4 linked regions of the Danio rerio genome follow. The protein of the gene in region 4 interacts with the protein of the main gene of each other region in a biochemical or structural test. Links are inferred from orthologs where the notes say so. Each region holds a gene or a part of one and is shown on either strand. Other genes may lie near its edges.

Region 1 (3,936 bases), on a different chromosome or scaffold from region 4:
TAGGCTTATGGCTATATGAAGAGAGAATTATGAGTAGGGTGGGAAGTTTCGTGAGTCGAAAACGAGTGATGAACTCCCGGTAATCTCGCGTCTCCCTCCCGATCCTTAAATAGGCATTGTTATGCACCCTTCTCACCCCTCCCCACCGCATCTCTCCTCAGACACGTCGCACGCGCACCCTGTCAATCACCACCAAACCACCACCTCTCCTGACAGTTTAGCGGGATGCTGGAAAATGAACCCTGACACTCTGACCAATGTAAGGAGAGTTTACTCGCACGTGACTTGTTTTAGCTCCTTTGGTCCGATTAGAAACTTTGTAGTGTGAAAGCGAACCGCTCCAAAAGCAATGTAACGATTGTAATCTCTGTTTCGGAACAACTGAATCGATTCACAGGTGTGAAAGCACCATAAGACTCTTTCCATCCACTTTAAGACAATATAACCACTTTTCAACCGTAAACACTAGTGAGATTTTAAATTACAGTATATTAATTAAATATTAATGTAAGAAATTAATCCAAAACTAAAACAATATTCATATACTGAAAAAATTATATTAAATCTAGCTAATTTAGCAGGTTGGCACCTATAGAATTGCAGAAATAATGGTGTTGCATTGGTAACTGCAGTAAACAAATCACCATAATTTCAAATCTAGTAGGACTTCAATGATTTCATAAACTACACAGCATCCTTATATTCATAGATATAATTCAGGCAAACTTTAGCATGCAATTATACATTGCCTAAACTAAAATGATATTAAATTTAAGTTTTACTTTTATACTTTTATCTTACTTTTTACTTTTAAACAATCCTTATTGGGGTCAATAAAAATTCTGTTTCAATTCTCAAAAACCGTTATGCTGCTTAATATATGTATTTTTAAGTGTATTTGCTACAGTTCTATCAAGATGAAATAAAAGTATTAATTGTCTACAGGGTAAAAAATTAACAGCCACCAATCAAGCATCAAAATACCATCTCATTACCATCTCAAGTGGGAAAAAAACACTTCCTTACCAAAGCATTGCCTTTTCTGACATCCTCCAGTCGTTCAAGGACTTCAGTCAGACTTGGATCATCAGAATCAACAAACCATATTGGTGGTGTTGAAGGATAAGACTCCTACAAAAACATCAAGAGTAACAAAATCAGCATCTTCATACCCGTATCAAACCCATTTGTCCTTTCACAAGGTTGCTAAAGTCTTCTCATTTCAGTTCAGCCACTTGCATGACAAACAGCCACATTAACAGATGCCAAACCAATGAATCAAACTCTGCAGCTTCTTCTCTCAATGAGAAAAGACCACAGCAGACCCGCGCAGTGTTGTTTATTTCAGAGAAGTGTTTGTCAGAGCTGATGATCTTCCACGTAAAATCATGTGAACATTATGTTCTCATCCACTAGTTAGAAATCTCCTCCCATTGTGTCTTCCATCAAGGGAGAGCCAAAATGATGGCGATGTGATATTCTTTTGCTTGTCAGGACCATAAACTGACCTCATAGCACCTCAAATCAGTATACAAGCTCAGCAAACTAACTGGCCTCTAGAACACACAAAAAACAGCAGCCAGTTGCACTGCAGTGGCGTCGTTTTGCAAAAACAATGTAGGTTCTGATGACAACACTCCTTCATAATGTAGTGCAGTTAGCATACACTCAACATACATGCAGATTTCGCTCAAAGATGCGAAATGGCAAATAAACGCGATGACTGAAAACGCGCTAATGTTGCTAGCACATGTAAGGCAACATTAACAGTTACGAAAATATTATACATTTATGATAAAATCATTTACATGGCGAAAAACTGAACAAACTTCGAGCATTTTAAATCTACGCATTTCGTAGCAGGCCCAAGTTAGCTGAACGGAGAACTTCGACAAACCAGCTAAACAAATTGCGAAATTAGCTAGCCGAGGATTTAACAAACTGTTGTGTTTACACAAAATGTTTCAATGCTCGATAAATAATCCACAAACAACATCCCAAATCCGCGATAAAAAGATTTTAAAAAATAAGTTCACCCCAAAACGTCGTTTAGCAAGCTAAACTACCAGCTAAGCCAAATTAGCACACAAGCTAATTACATGACAACTAATTTAAAGTGACGCAGAATGCAAAACATCCACCGGTCTTGGTCAACCATCTCCTGTACACAAGAATAAATAACGCTGACGATTAGCTGATGGTTTTATTAAGCCAACAAAGTGAAACCGAGAGCAAACGCAGTTAACTTTGTTAGCTAATACACCAGCAAGCTAAGCGTAGCTCGCGCTGCTTGTTTAGCAGTGATTTTGACATCTTTTTGATTATAAAACTGAACATTGATCACCCTAAATGCTTTTATTCGCACTATCATGGCTTTATTCGAGCAAACAGGGGCTTGTGGGTGGTGTTGTTTCACTCGGCCTTGCCTTGTTCGCATGTAAACCTACACACGGGGCTGGTGGATCTTACCGTGATGTTGCAGTGAATAATCAGCAGCTTTTCTCCCGTCACATTAAACTGGCAGCTCAGTTCGTCTGGCTTCCAGTCGATTATTCGAAATCGCTCATGGTTTGGGTCAAAGATTGACTCCAGGAACTTTAATTCGGCCTTCAGCCCCGACACCGACATCTTCCACTCATCTCATCAGCAGCCAGGCCGCGGGGGGAAGGGACGCACGGAGACCGCGAGCGCGCAGCTGATCCAGCGAGAGTGCGTGTGTGTGAGCGCGCGGCGGCGGAGGGAGGCTGGAGGAGAGAAACAACAAAGAGGGGGCGGGGAGAGAGAGGCGAACTGGAGGCCGGAGAGACGACAAAACAACGCCCGCCAAGAAATACTGCGAGAGAGGGGAAGTGGGTGATCGAGATCTGCGTGGACTACTGGGACGCCAATTGTGTTTTTCTTAGGTGAATGTGTGGTTGACCATTCTTCGTCTTCTGTATGACAGTCCTCTTGTATTATCCAACATATAAAAGAAAGAAAATTACATAATAATAATAATATGCATTTATTTTTATTATGCAAGAAAGAACATTTACAAAGACACAATATTAATAAAAAGACAAAAAGGGTTACATACATAAAATCACAGGAAATTAAACAAATTAAATGCTTCACAACAAGAAAGAGTTTTACGTGCAATTTACACTCTTTTAAGGAGTTCACATATAAATCAAAGTCCTTTCTGAAAATAAAAATAGGGGTGTTTCTTTGAAATTTTACATTTAGGGATGTAAAAATTAGCCAGAAAAAGCTATAAATTAATAATAAATTTTCAAAGAGAAGAATCTAAGTTCAGAAAGTAACCAACTACTACAATTTTGGGGAAATCAGGGTGTTGTTAGGGTTGAAAGGGAAAGGGAAAGGGATTAACCCCAAAGAAGTCAAAGAAAGAAGTTGTAATTCAACCTACTAAAATACCCCCACTTTCAAAGGGTGATCTACTCCACTCTTAATAATAGGATTATACATGGTTTAATGATAAATAAAGTTTTTTGTAGTTGTCTTTTAACAATAAATTGTAAAGCTTTGTGACTTGTAATACCAAAAAGGAAAAAAATTGATAAATTAACCCATTTCTCATTTATTAGTCTGTTATGAGCCATATCATACCTCTTGAGCCTCCTACACTGCAAAAAATGCTTTTCTTACTTAGATTTTTTGTATTGTTTCTAGCCCAAATATCTACAAATTTTTAAATCAAGAAGCATTTTCTAGACAAGCAAAACTTATTGTCGTGTTTTAAGAAATAATATGCCAAAATAAAGTGAGTTTTTTCTTAAATCAAGCAAAATAATCTGCCAATGGGGTGAGCAAAGTAATCGTGTTTTTTGATTTGTGATAAGATTATTTTGCTTATCCCATTGGCAGATTATTTTGCTTGATTTAAGAAAAAACTCACTTTATTTTGGCATATTATTTCTTAAAATAAGACAATAT
Region 2 (3,950 bases), on a different chromosome or scaffold from region 4:
TATATATATATATATATATATATATATATATAGATAAGTAACGTCTGATTCAAAGTCTAAAACTCAGAGTGTGATCGAGCCTGATTTCCGATCAGGTAATCAAATCTGGACATCCCCAAAGGAGTATGGTTTATTAAAAACAACATTGCTAAATTAAACGTATAACTTTACCCTTTAAAGCATCAACACAATAAAAGATTAAGCCGGCACACATTTTGATTTACAGAAGTGTTTATATACCCCAAAATCTTGTAACTAAAAACAATTTGATCATCACATACTGAAAAGCTCACAGAAAGAATCAGTGCAGACTTCAATGAATAATTAATTTTTTTTTTTTTAATTTTGCCCTTATATTATTTAAACTTATAACTGAATAAGTAGTGTAAACGTAATGCACATTGATAACAATGCATGAACCGTGCATGTGCAAAGCATTATTGTTCACTAATATTATAACAAAAGAAGGAAGGATGGAGGGAGTGCATAAGAAAGTGGGATATGATGAAATACCACTAACTGTGCAAGTCTCTGAAATGTTGCTGCTTACCTTAGTCATGTCATGGGGATCTGGGACCACAAACATACCTGGAGGGGGTTCTTTATAAATGGACATAATGTCTCTAAATGGAGGAAAGAAGACAGAGAATCACTAACAACACTGAGAAATTACTCCAGTAAACAAGTATCCGTCACATAACCCTCCACTTTTATCAAAGCACGAGACGGAAACAGAAGTCACATATATACCATGCCAAGAAAATCATCAGATCAATAAATGCCTGGATTACACAGTCAAACCGCACATAAACAAAACTGACTGGCTGTAACTGAGTGCATTGGTTTTGTGTCCACATTTCCATTATTAGTCCTCTGGGGACATCTATCAAAATATTGCCCAGGCCAAAGTCATTGCCAAGTGACAATTCCCAAAAGTGGCAACACTCACTGTGTCTCAAAAGCAACATGCCCACAACAAATTAATCTGCAAATATGCTTGTAACAGTGGGCTTAAAAAGGTTTCAGCATGCAAGGTAGTACAGATGGACTTGATGTTGGCTTAATCTTTTTCTCTACTTAAAATGCAAAATGTAGTGATAACTAGTTGGGTGGATGTCTGAATCACACTTTGCACTCAGATAAAGTAAGTTACTATTGGTGTGTTTAATGTTCAGTTTTGTATGCAACAGCCATTAATACTGAAGAAAGGTGTGCACAACTAAGATGTAAATGAATTAGAAAAAACAAAACAACAACTTAACTTTAAACAATTAATATATTTATTTTTAAAACTTTCATATTTATAATATTTTAATGCCATTTGACTACTGTTTAAAGTCTTATTTATTAATTTGCCATAACTCAATTGCTTTTTAAAAAATTAATTACACATATATTATAAAGTCTACTATTTATACATTTGCCACGGTTTATGGAAGTAAACAATCCATATCGAAGATGGAAATATATAATTAATAATAATTTCTCACATTTATATAGCTGTGTTCTGGACGCTCAAAGCCTAAATATCTCCTTATCCAACAGCAGAGAATGGTGTTTGATGAATTGAAAGTTCCAAAGCATATGGTTTATTGAAAATAACATTGCTTAATTAAATGTACAACTTTAGCTTTTAAAGCATCAATACAATAAAAGATTAAGCCCTCACACATTTTGACTTGCAGAGAACACCCAACTAGAATGAAAAACAACTTCGTATAATAACAATAAATTTTTGAATGATTTCATTTTAAGGTTATCACTATTTATTAATTTGACCTAAATTCCTCAACATTTTATTAAAGGCTTAACCAAGACATGTATATTTAGGATTGAAATAAAATTTTATTAAGTAAACGTTCCATCAAAATAAAAAATCTAAAAATGTTTAACAATGTGTTATTGCTTTGGTCCACTATTTCCATGCCAGCAGCACAAAATGACAGCTACAAATTGAATCGATTAAGTTCATTCAGCATTAATATTTACTTTTCAATCGCAAAGAGGCTGACATAAAACTTCTCTTAAATTTCCCTAAACAAACTCTGACACTTCAAGACAGTCTATCGTTACCTTTTTATTCGGAGAATACACTGCTGAGACGCCTTTTCGTTGTCCCAGTCGGTGCTTAACGTGGGATCCCAGGAGGTGGCGTGAATTTGAGACAGGAGGCCCGCTCCGGCCGGGACTCCAGAACCGATACCGGGCGGCAGGGATGGAAGAACGGCCACGGGGACTGTGGAACTGACCGCATGGGTGAGCACACCGAGCCCGCTCTCCACGGCCGGAGTGATGGTATGCGCCATCCCGGGCTCGACCACAGCCAGGCCGGTGTCTGCCGGAGGCGGTGAGGCTGATGAATGCCCCGGTATAGAATTACCCAAACTCGCGGACAACTGCGCTCCGTGGCCCTGCGCCGCCCCCACGGAACCGTTGGCCTCCTCCGTAACGCTGTCCGCCATCGCCGATGAGACCGAAGAGCCGCAAACTGTTTGACCAGCTGTCAGTTCAATCAGTTTCCTTTGCAGTTTCTGTTTCTCCTCGCTCGGAAGCAAGTGGAGGAGGGCAGGACGAGAAATAACTCCTACATATTCTCCCGTTTCCCTCTTCCGACCTCAACTATTATAACGACCTATCTCAAAGGAGGAACTAAGTTTAACGTTTTATACGAATTAGCAGTGTTCGGCGAAGCATTCAACGTTCACATCAATGAGTAACAGTGTCTAAACGCCCGTAAACGTAGTTTCTCCTCGCTCGGCCAGGCCTGTTTATAAATGTTGTTTCATTTCTCTTCACTTCCTCCTCGTTTGGGTGGAAACAGCGTCGTCTAGTGGTGCACTCCTGTGAAGAATTATAATGTATTTATTTAACATGCGACATACACACGATGTCAGGCGTAAGACACGCCTTATAATAGTTATTGGTTAATTTATTAGTAAAAGTTAGCACGAGACGCGTACATTTGCAAGCGTTTCATCTATATCAGTTTACGGAAACTATCCAAAGTTTTTATTAGTCTCAGATTACGTTGTTATTTCTGTTACCATGGCAACATCATATTTTTGACTACTACGCCATCATAAATTGTAGAAAGTACAGAAAGGCGGCGGCTTTTAGACACATTTAACTTTTAATTATAATTTTGATTAAGTGGCCAAATTCTGACTAAGGACAGTTTAATGAGCTGGCCATTTTTTATTTGACCATATAGTTTTTATTTTTAAACAAGTTTTACTAGATTCCTATATATATTTTTTTTAAATTATGGATAATAATAAATTATTAACAACTTTTTCCATATTTCTTTTTATTTTTTTTAAATGTTAATCTCATAACAATATTTATAAATCTTAATTAACTTACAGGTTTATAAATTTGAAAATAAAAGCTTCTTAGTAAAATAGCCTACTATGGTAAGCACTTTAACAACGGTTACGATCACCATCCGGAAAGCTGATCAAAGATTAGTTCTTAAAATGCCAGTAAAACGCATAATTAAATAGAAAATCGAGAAGAATACTTGCAAAAAAGTCCACTTATTCAGAAATAATAATAAAAAAAACACTCTATTCAATAGGCCAGTTACAGGCCTGAAATCATTTTCCATCATGTTCAACAGATGAAAAACCCTTATTCACATTAAAAAGAAAATCAGCCCTTTATTTACTCACCCCATAGCATCTGTGTGACTTTCTTCTTTTAGCCAATTTGAAGATATAAAAATATAGCTTCTGACAGTTTCAAGCTGTACAATGGCAGATAATGACTGTTTTGTATCTAGGATCCAAAACAAGTCCAATACAGTTCATCCATCCACAATACAGTGCTCACAACTCTATGAATAGATTTGTGAGCTAATCAACAGCTGGTTAATAAAGGTCTCCTGCAGTGATTGATTCATTTTTATTACAACATTAACTGTCAAAAATATTAAAGTTTGTATTATATAT
Region 3 (4,281 bases), on a different chromosome or scaffold from region 4:
GCGAAAAAAGATTTTGGGATAAAAATTGGAATACACTGAAAAAGGTATAAGAATTTAGGGAGTACATTCATCTTTACGCAGCTGATTCTGCCTGCCATTGATAATGGGAGAAGAGACCAGCGGCGAAAATCATGTGTGAGACGACTAAGAACGAGTTGTTTTTAACGTCTAAAAATATACGTAAGTGAATGAGACTGGAAGTCTCAATCTAAAGAGATTCAAATAGCTGTGCCCGCTCATACGCGAGGAATAAGGTCAATAGGGTATATGCCGAAGCATGCTAATAGGACTTTTAACCTGGGTTAAGCCCTTCCGATGAACTGTTTGCCATTGCAAAAACGGCGCGTTTAAAGTCTGTTTTTAAAAATCAGCGATTTTCATGGGCTGAGTGATATCCGATATAAAGTGGGTCTCAGATTGTACAAGAAGCACTGCATTAAATTACATTTTCCCCCGCCATGTCTTTAAAATATGAGCATTTATATTACCCCAGTATATTCAATGGAGCTTCTGCGCTAACCTCGTTTTACACTTGAGCAACTAAATGAATGCCAGAGTCTATTTAACTGATTGTGTTTTAACTATATTACAGCATCGATGCTGTATAAGGTATCATTTAAAATGGAAAAAAAACCTAACAATAACAGGTAACCGGAAGTTTATCAGCATGGGAACAGCACTAGCTCGGCATATACCCTTTAGACTGAACATGTAATATGGGCACAAAGTCACCATTTTTGCATAAAATCAACATCATTTACAAAAACCTGTATGTATTTTTAAAAGCATATCCAGGCCTCTAATTACAACCGGAATATAACTGAATGGCCAAACACACACAAAGTTGTTCCATTTTAGGTGATTATGATGTTGTGTAAACACTTTCTACAGATTTATGGGAAATGTAGTTTTTCCACCAGATACTCAGCTGTTGAACTACATTTTTCTTTACTTGTTGAAGATCAAAAAAAAAAAGTTTAAAAACAGAAAAAATATCCTGACAATTTGAACAACAGACCTGTTCAAACTTTTTCATTTTTCAAGAAATAAACCTAAGCGAATAGCTTAAATCTAAATAACTGAGCACAAATTATACACTAGCTTTAACTAGGAAAAAATACTGTCACTCAACTCTTTAATCCCACCTACTTGCAGTTTCCGGGTAGTAACAGAGTGGCCAATCATACGGCTAGTTCCTACTGCTGGAGACATAAACATAACGAGACATTCCCAGATCCTTTCAGGACTTTACAACATCCCAAAGAGTCTTTCATGGGTTACTTTTTAATGCGCACACGTCGTAATCACACATAAACGACCCAAGCTAAACAGATGGCAAGCCCCGACAGCATGAAAACTTTCCTGATCTGTAAAGCAAACAAATCTTTGCAGGTTTCTTTTGTTCTGAAAAACTCGACATAACTGCACTTCATAAATGATCAACCCAACGTCTAAAAAGCCAACGGAACTGCGTGTTCTAGATGCTTAGATAGACAAAAACAATGACAAAACGCACTGACAGCACAGCCAAACCACACACTGCGCATGAAGGCATGTTGCACGCATAATACCAAACGGCTTGTCTTGAGCAAAAGCGGACGAAAACAACTCTACAAAACTTTTGGTGCGTGTGTCATTTATGTCAAGTAAACTAAAGGGATTCTTGTGGAGTGGTGACAGAGACAAACATCCGCACCCAGTCAATATAACAACAACATAACTTCCCTTGTTCTCGAGAGCTTTAAAATGCGAACAAAAATATGGTAAATTTCCTGTCAAAACATGTAACCCTCAAACGAGAACATTAGACCTTAACAAAAGCCAAAGCAAGATGGATCCTCCATATGAGAGAAAAACACATTGAGACAGGGTTATACAATGACGCCGAGTTTGAAGTTTGGCATTTCAGATTTGTTGTTATTTAAAGAGCGTTGCATCTAAACAAACAAACTGCACATGAATATCTCGTTGTTTTCGTGTACTATAAATAAACAAGCGATTGACGATGTTTAAATGCGTATAATTGTCCGTTTTCATGATAAAACAGCAACAAAAACAATCAACAAATAAATAAATAACTGGCTTCTGAGGTTGTGCTAGCTCGCTAGCAGGCCAAATGGAAAGTAACAATCACCATTTTGGTCAAAAACACGTCTGGATTTGTCAGAGAGCATATAAATAAATATATCCGACTGGTATCTATATAAATATGTGCTTGAATCCTGTGGATGTCAAACGTTGGCATGGATTTGAAGAGAAAGGCGATGACAAAACACTCAAAGGACACAGAGCAACATTTCCCCCTTTCAACACTGACAACGAACAAATCCCGTCGAGAAAAATCTGATTTTTTTAGCTGAGTTGTGTTATTTTCAAAATAAGCCTCAGTTATTCTTGCCTTTGTTGCTGGCCGCACTGACAACCATCAAAACACTTTTGTTGTCAAAAGCTGATCACCATCTAACAAACCATTACACTGGCTTTGACAACTGTTTTTCTGAGCAGACGGACGCGTATAATTGTTTAAAACCAGCAGGAGATGCATTTTAAGGCTGATTCGGTGAATATCTGACATATTTGACGGCCACAGCGTTACAGTAATTGTGTTGTTTATATTTTAAAGGATACAGTTTCACCACGTCGGTGTCCATTCGTCTTTTGCCCGGACTTGGAGACGACATCTTTATACACTCCTCTTTCAGATGACCGATGCTCAAATCTTCTGCGACTGATTCTCGATCCCTTGGCCTCTACCGAAACTGAGTATTTTTGAACATTGGCATACGGCAAGCTGTCGTTTGGAGAGTTATTTTTCGCCCTCCACTTTCTGTCCGCAGCGGATAGTACTGGTAGTCCTCTGCCCGCACTGCTCTCTCTCTCTCACAGCTATCTATCCCTCCGCCGATGACGTCATGTCTGCGCGACGAAAGGTGTCCCCCTCCTCCTATGCGGTGTTTTGGACGTGTCATAAACAAGGGGACGACTCAAATTTGTAGTACGTTCAAAATGGTAGTTTTTAGTTAGCTATAAAGACAACTATGGTGGTCAAACCCCCTCTGTTATGATGTATTTTAAATCAACACACTTCTTGTCTTTAAACGCTATTACAGTTTTGATGGTCAACACTGATAATGAGACACAATTTTCTTGTAACATAACAACACTGCATTTTACAAGTGTGTAAAAGCCACAGCAGTCAAATGTTAAGTTGGTGTATCCTTTTAAGACAAAAGTATGACAAGACGTACATGGTGGAAACCAGCAAAAGGATTATTTTTATTAGATTTAAGCAGATATTTGCATGCACAATGCAGGACACTAGAGAAAGAACTTGCTGCTCAAAACCAAAAAAATTGGCACTCCTTTTCTAAATGTGGCATCTATTTCAGCTGGTATATGCGTAAAAGATAGGTCATAAATTATACATAAAAGTGTTCGTCCATTCACATTTATGGAATACTTACTTTAAAATGCCAAAAAAAAGACAAGCCTGCAAACACTGGTTCCCCTTAGCTATACTATAATATGAAAAGTGTTAGTTTTTGATCCAACTACCATGTTGTCCAGTGTAATAAGGTGGTAATGGACTATTTGGCAGTCCATGAGATGTAAAGAGCTTTGGTTTGTTGTTGCTCAAAGGCCGAACAGACAGACCCAGAATTCAAAACAGTGTGGTTAAGTTACAATTTCTAGAAGAACTCTGCCAGGCTTTTCTGCTCCAAAATGAGATCTTTCAGCACAATCCAGCTCAATCCGTGTGGATTTACCGTCCCAACCAAACCCATTACTGTAAACAAGACTCACATGATCAAGAAACACTCGGATATGAAACTACTGTAAATATTACAAAGAGCAGCGTACCACTAGGTTAACATCAGCAGGCTTTCCCAGTCCAACACACACTACTGGGATGGGGATGACACCTGCCACTGTCGAAATATTGAAAATACCCTTTTTGATTTGTCATGAGGACCCTGAATGAAAAGTAAAAACAGAGTGTCACAGGAATGAAAAGTGTTTAATAATTTCAACAAAATGCAGATATGTTGAATATGGTTCACCTGTGATGGACTGGCTCCCACTGGATTGAGGCTTTGTTTCATGGATAAAAACAGGGCAAGCACTGCTTTCCAGCCTGGTTGAGGGAGCTCTGCTTCACAGCCAACAAATTCAGAGGCGTCCTGATTGTCCTCCTCTTTTTCCACACTCACCCAAGGACACCAGTCCCTGTGCTGGGCTACTGGGTCAAACATATTTCTGTGCAACAGGCCTTCCTGTAAG
Region 4 (3,500 bases):
CCAGTCGAGGCTGACTGACATCAGCACGGTTCTTCCCAAGATCCTCCTCACGCAGGTAAAACTAGGAACATGAAGCAAACAAAATTGTATTTCTACTACTGTAGATTATTAATGTTTATTCTTACACTTCCAGAAACAATATATGGATTTTTTTTCATTTGTTTATGTAGAGAACAGTACAAAAGTTTGGGTTTGGTAAGATTTTAAAAATTATTTTAGAAAAAGTCTCTTGTGCTCACCAACATTGCCTTTAAAAAAATCTATATATAATAATAATAATAATAATAATAACAGTAATATTTTGAACTGACGTACACGTTTATTCATTCATTTAATTTTTTTTTCATCCCAATTCTACAATGGCAGCATATCTTCACCCGGAATCAGGAGATGCACAAATTCATATTTTTTGTCATTATTACGAATTTTTACGACAAACACGTTTTAATACATTCATAACAGCCTTCAAGTTTTACCATCATGCTTTAAAAAATAAAAATCACAGTAAATTTTAGCATCAATAATGCCTAATATTAACTCCTGTATAGCAGTCCCACAACATTCTGTCACTCGATGACACACGAACAGCCTGTAAGAAATTTCTAGTGGCTGTGAATGACCTTTTATATAATGTTAATGTTGTTTGCGCGTGTTTACATAGATGATTATGGCCACGGTGTAAAAGCACAGTACAGTTACAAGCTAATTGCTACATTATATCATTTTAACATAATATATGCCTTCAATGATATGCTGAAGATAAATACCACAAAAAAAACGCAACTGGTATAACTACAGCAGTCGCCTTCATCAATCTCATATGAAGCAAGAGCTCATGATGACGTGTGCAGGTGTTGTAGTGGTGTCCCATTTCTTAGAGATAAATTTTGAAGCCCTTCCCCTTAACACTCTGTTTCAAGGGCCAAGAGAAAGGGGTAATAAACTGCCAACTTATCCAGCATGTTTTACACAGCGGATGCCCTTCCTCCTGCAACCCAGTACTGGGAAACATCCATACACTCTCACATGCAATGACAAATTCTTTCACAAATTAAACTTTTAAATAATATTTTCCTCTATTGAAATATATTTGTTAAACATTAATTCATGTGATAGCAAAGCCCAACTTTCAGCAGGCATTCATTGTTTTCAGTATCACAGGATCCTTAAAATAATGCATATTTTGTAATTATCTATTAAAAAAAAAACATGTCAATATCAATACTGAAAATAGTGCAGATTAATATTTTTGGTGGAAAAATACATTTTCCTCAATACAAAGAACAGCATTTCATAGCAAAACAATAAAAATCAAACTCAGATTTTTGAATAAACCTTTCAAAATCTGAACCCAAACTATGAATGACGGTGTAATTTAATTGTTGTTTGTAGACTTTTTTTTTTTAAACGTAATTTTAGCCCCTTACTCAACGCACAAAACTATCAGCAAGGGCTGTTTTGCTTTCACACAGTTACAGTTATGACTCATGACCAACCACTGACCTGTGATGAAAGGTCCTTCCACTCGGCCACTCCCTGATCGTGCAGGGTGACGCTTTTGACTCCACCCAGAATGACATTCTTAGCGATCTCTACCCCTAAACCTCGCAGTCCCGAGATAAGAACATTAGAGCTCTGCATACGCTTCATAGCATCATGACCCAGCACGTACCTGAGAAACGTATACTAAATTTAGCTTCTGCTCACATGATCAGGTTTGCTTGCTCAAAAAAACATTATGATACATCAAACTAAAATGCAGGCCAGACTCACAGCTGTCTGGAGTACAGGCCCTCGTCGATCTCAGCATCATTTCCATTCTTAGCCATGCCCTGCAGAGACCAAAACCACAGTTAGCAGACTATAAATAGCCATGCACATAACTTATGAAACTGGCTGCCTTTCAAAAAACACAAGCGCAGTAAAGAATGAAGATAAAATTCTCTAAATATGTTCAAGCCCCAGTGGTGTTCAAAACAAGTATTGACTTGAACATACGTTAGCTGGTGTGTGTGACAGTTCAGTTCTGACAGAGTTAGAGGAGGAGCAATGGGATCCCGTCTTCGTCTCTGATCCTGACACGCGACGCTTCTTGGACAGCGGCGAGCTGGACATCTGGAAAACAAGAAGAAATATATTTTTCGCAGGAAAGTGCGAGTAGTAGTGCCTAAATACTGTTACTTTAACAGCAATTTTCATGAATTTCATCATGCGAGTTGAAAGCGAGTTTACTTCATAACAAAAAGTACAGTCATTAAAAGCAAAATGTCTCTGTACAGTAAAAAAATAATAATGTTCCAGATAAACTTTTACATCTGGCATCAAAATGTGTTTTATTGAATTGTTTCAAGTCTACAAATGTAGAAATTACAGCCAACACATTTATCCGTCTTTCCTTTCCATTCCTAAAACAGGTGTACGTATTGGGCCTGGGACAAAAAACGCTTTCAAGGTTTCCTGCAGTTTGCAAAAGTCAAAGATTTAAAACTGCAAATATTTTCTGTTTTACCATTCCTAAAGTATATCTAAGGTTTTTATAAAGTATTTTTTTAAATGTGTTGTAAAGAAATCTGTGCTTATGAAACAAATGAAGAGAGAAGTCAATGATAATTTTAATTATTTAGCCTGACATGTTTCCAAAATATTATAAATGTTTCTTAAATAAAATAAAATTTTCAATGGGTAAAAGATTTAGTTTTATACCCAGATATTTAAAAAAATAATTAAAACAACTTATTTTAGAGCAGTAATTACAATACCGTGAAGGTTATCATAACGTCAGGAACTTATACTGGCCCATGCCTAGTATGTATGGGGTTTTCAGATCTCTAACAGCTACAAAATTTTGCTGGTAAAAAATAATCTAATTCTGTAAAACATTATGCTTTTTACATTTTATTTCACCTTCAAATCAAACGTCCGATTTCAGAGAGCAAAGTTTAATTCTTATATGGTTAGTGAGCTTCAGCAACATGTCCTATATTGTTTAAGAATTACGGCAGTAGTCAGAGAATAGGTGGCCTGATTGAGCACATTCAACTACAAGTGGACAAGCTTAAAACCTTTCAGAACTTACTTTGCACTGCTATTTATCATTGTCCACTTGAAGCTGGATCAACAAAAGTGCATCTTAACACCAGATGTAAACAGGCCCTTAAATTTGGCAAAACCACAAGTCTGTTTTCAAAAATGAGAATCAAATTAACATCTTATTAGAGGTTTCATATCCTTTTCATCATAATTGTTTTGGCGCCTGGCAAAAGCATATGTTTCTCTCACTAACAAATTAAACCAGTAGCTACATTTCCATCCAAACTATTTTGAATATGGGCATCAAAATAAAAAAAAATCAGCTGCCGGAAACGCCATGATGGCCATCAATTTTGAAAATGCGCATAAAAAATGTATGCACATAACCGAGTAGAATCAATTTTATTTGACAAGAAAAGATTCCAGAAAAAAAAGGTTGTTATTTTGTTAAAAGAGATCATGTGATGGTT

What was found. The genes of interacting proteins can lie anywhere in the genome.
Region 1: of the proteins of uba1 (region 4) and ube2q2, one has a biochemical effect on the other in vitro, tested with the Homo sapiens proteins (3 studies listed by BioGRID). The link is inferred for Danio rerio from reciprocal best matches to the Homo sapiens genes UBA1 and UBE2Q2.
Region 2: of the proteins of uba1 (region 4) and ube2z, one has a biochemical effect on the other in vitro, tested with the Homo sapiens proteins (3 studies listed by BioGRID). The link is inferred for Danio rerio from reciprocal best matches to the Homo sapiens genes UBA1 and UBE2Z.
Region 3: of the proteins of uba1 (region 4) and ube2h, one has a biochemical effect on the other in vitro, tested with the Homo sapiens proteins (3 studies listed by BioGRID, with this or other methods). The link is inferred for Danio rerio from reciprocal best matches to the Homo sapiens genes UBA1 and UBE2H.

The regions. Positions count from the first base shown.
Region 1 is NC_133200.1:31,836,088-31,840,023, forward strand, and holds the start of ube2q2 (ubiquitin-conjugating enzyme E2 Q2), read right to left. Parts: upstream 2,801-3,936; 5' UTR 2,629-2,800; coding exon 2,470-2,628; intron 1,132-2,469; coding exon 1,027-1,131; intron 1-1,026.
Region 2 is NC_133178.1:22,333,959-22,337,908, forward strand, and holds the start of ube2z (ubiquitin-conjugating enzyme E2 Z), read right to left. Parts: upstream 2,801-3,950; 5' UTR 2,463-2,800; coding exon 2,074-2,462; intron 624-2,073; coding exon 551-623; intron 1-550. UniProt on the Homo sapiens protein: Catalyzes the covalent attachment of ubiquitin to other proteins. Specific substrate for UBA6, not charged with ubiquitin by UBE1. May be involved in apoptosis regulation.
Region 3 is NC_133179.1:15,592,715-15,596,995, reverse strand, and holds the start of ube2h (ubiquitin-conjugating enzyme E2 H), read right to left. Parts: upstream 2,801-4,281; 5' UTR 2,682-2,800; coding exon 2,629-2,681; intron 1-2,628. Other genes in the region: zc3hc1 (zinc finger C3HC-type protein 1), read right to left, coding at 3,903-3,974, 4,062-4,274. UniProt on the Homo sapiens protein: Accepts ubiquitin from the E1 complex and catalyzes its covalent attachment to other proteins. E2 ubiquitin conjugating enzyme that transfers ubiquitin to MAEA, a core component of the CTLH E3 ubiquitin-protein ligase complex.
Region 4 is NC_133198.1:23,551,948-23,555,447, reverse strand, and holds part of uba1 (ubiquitin-like modifier-activating enzyme 1), read right to left. Parts: intron 2,116-3,500; coding exon 1,999-2,115; intron 1,833-1,998; coding exon 1,774-1,832; intron 1,673-1,773; coding exon 1,504-1,672; intron 62-1,503; coding exon 1-61. UniProt on the Homo sapiens protein: Catalyzes the first step in ubiquitin conjugation to mark cellular proteins for degradation through the ubiquitin-proteasome system.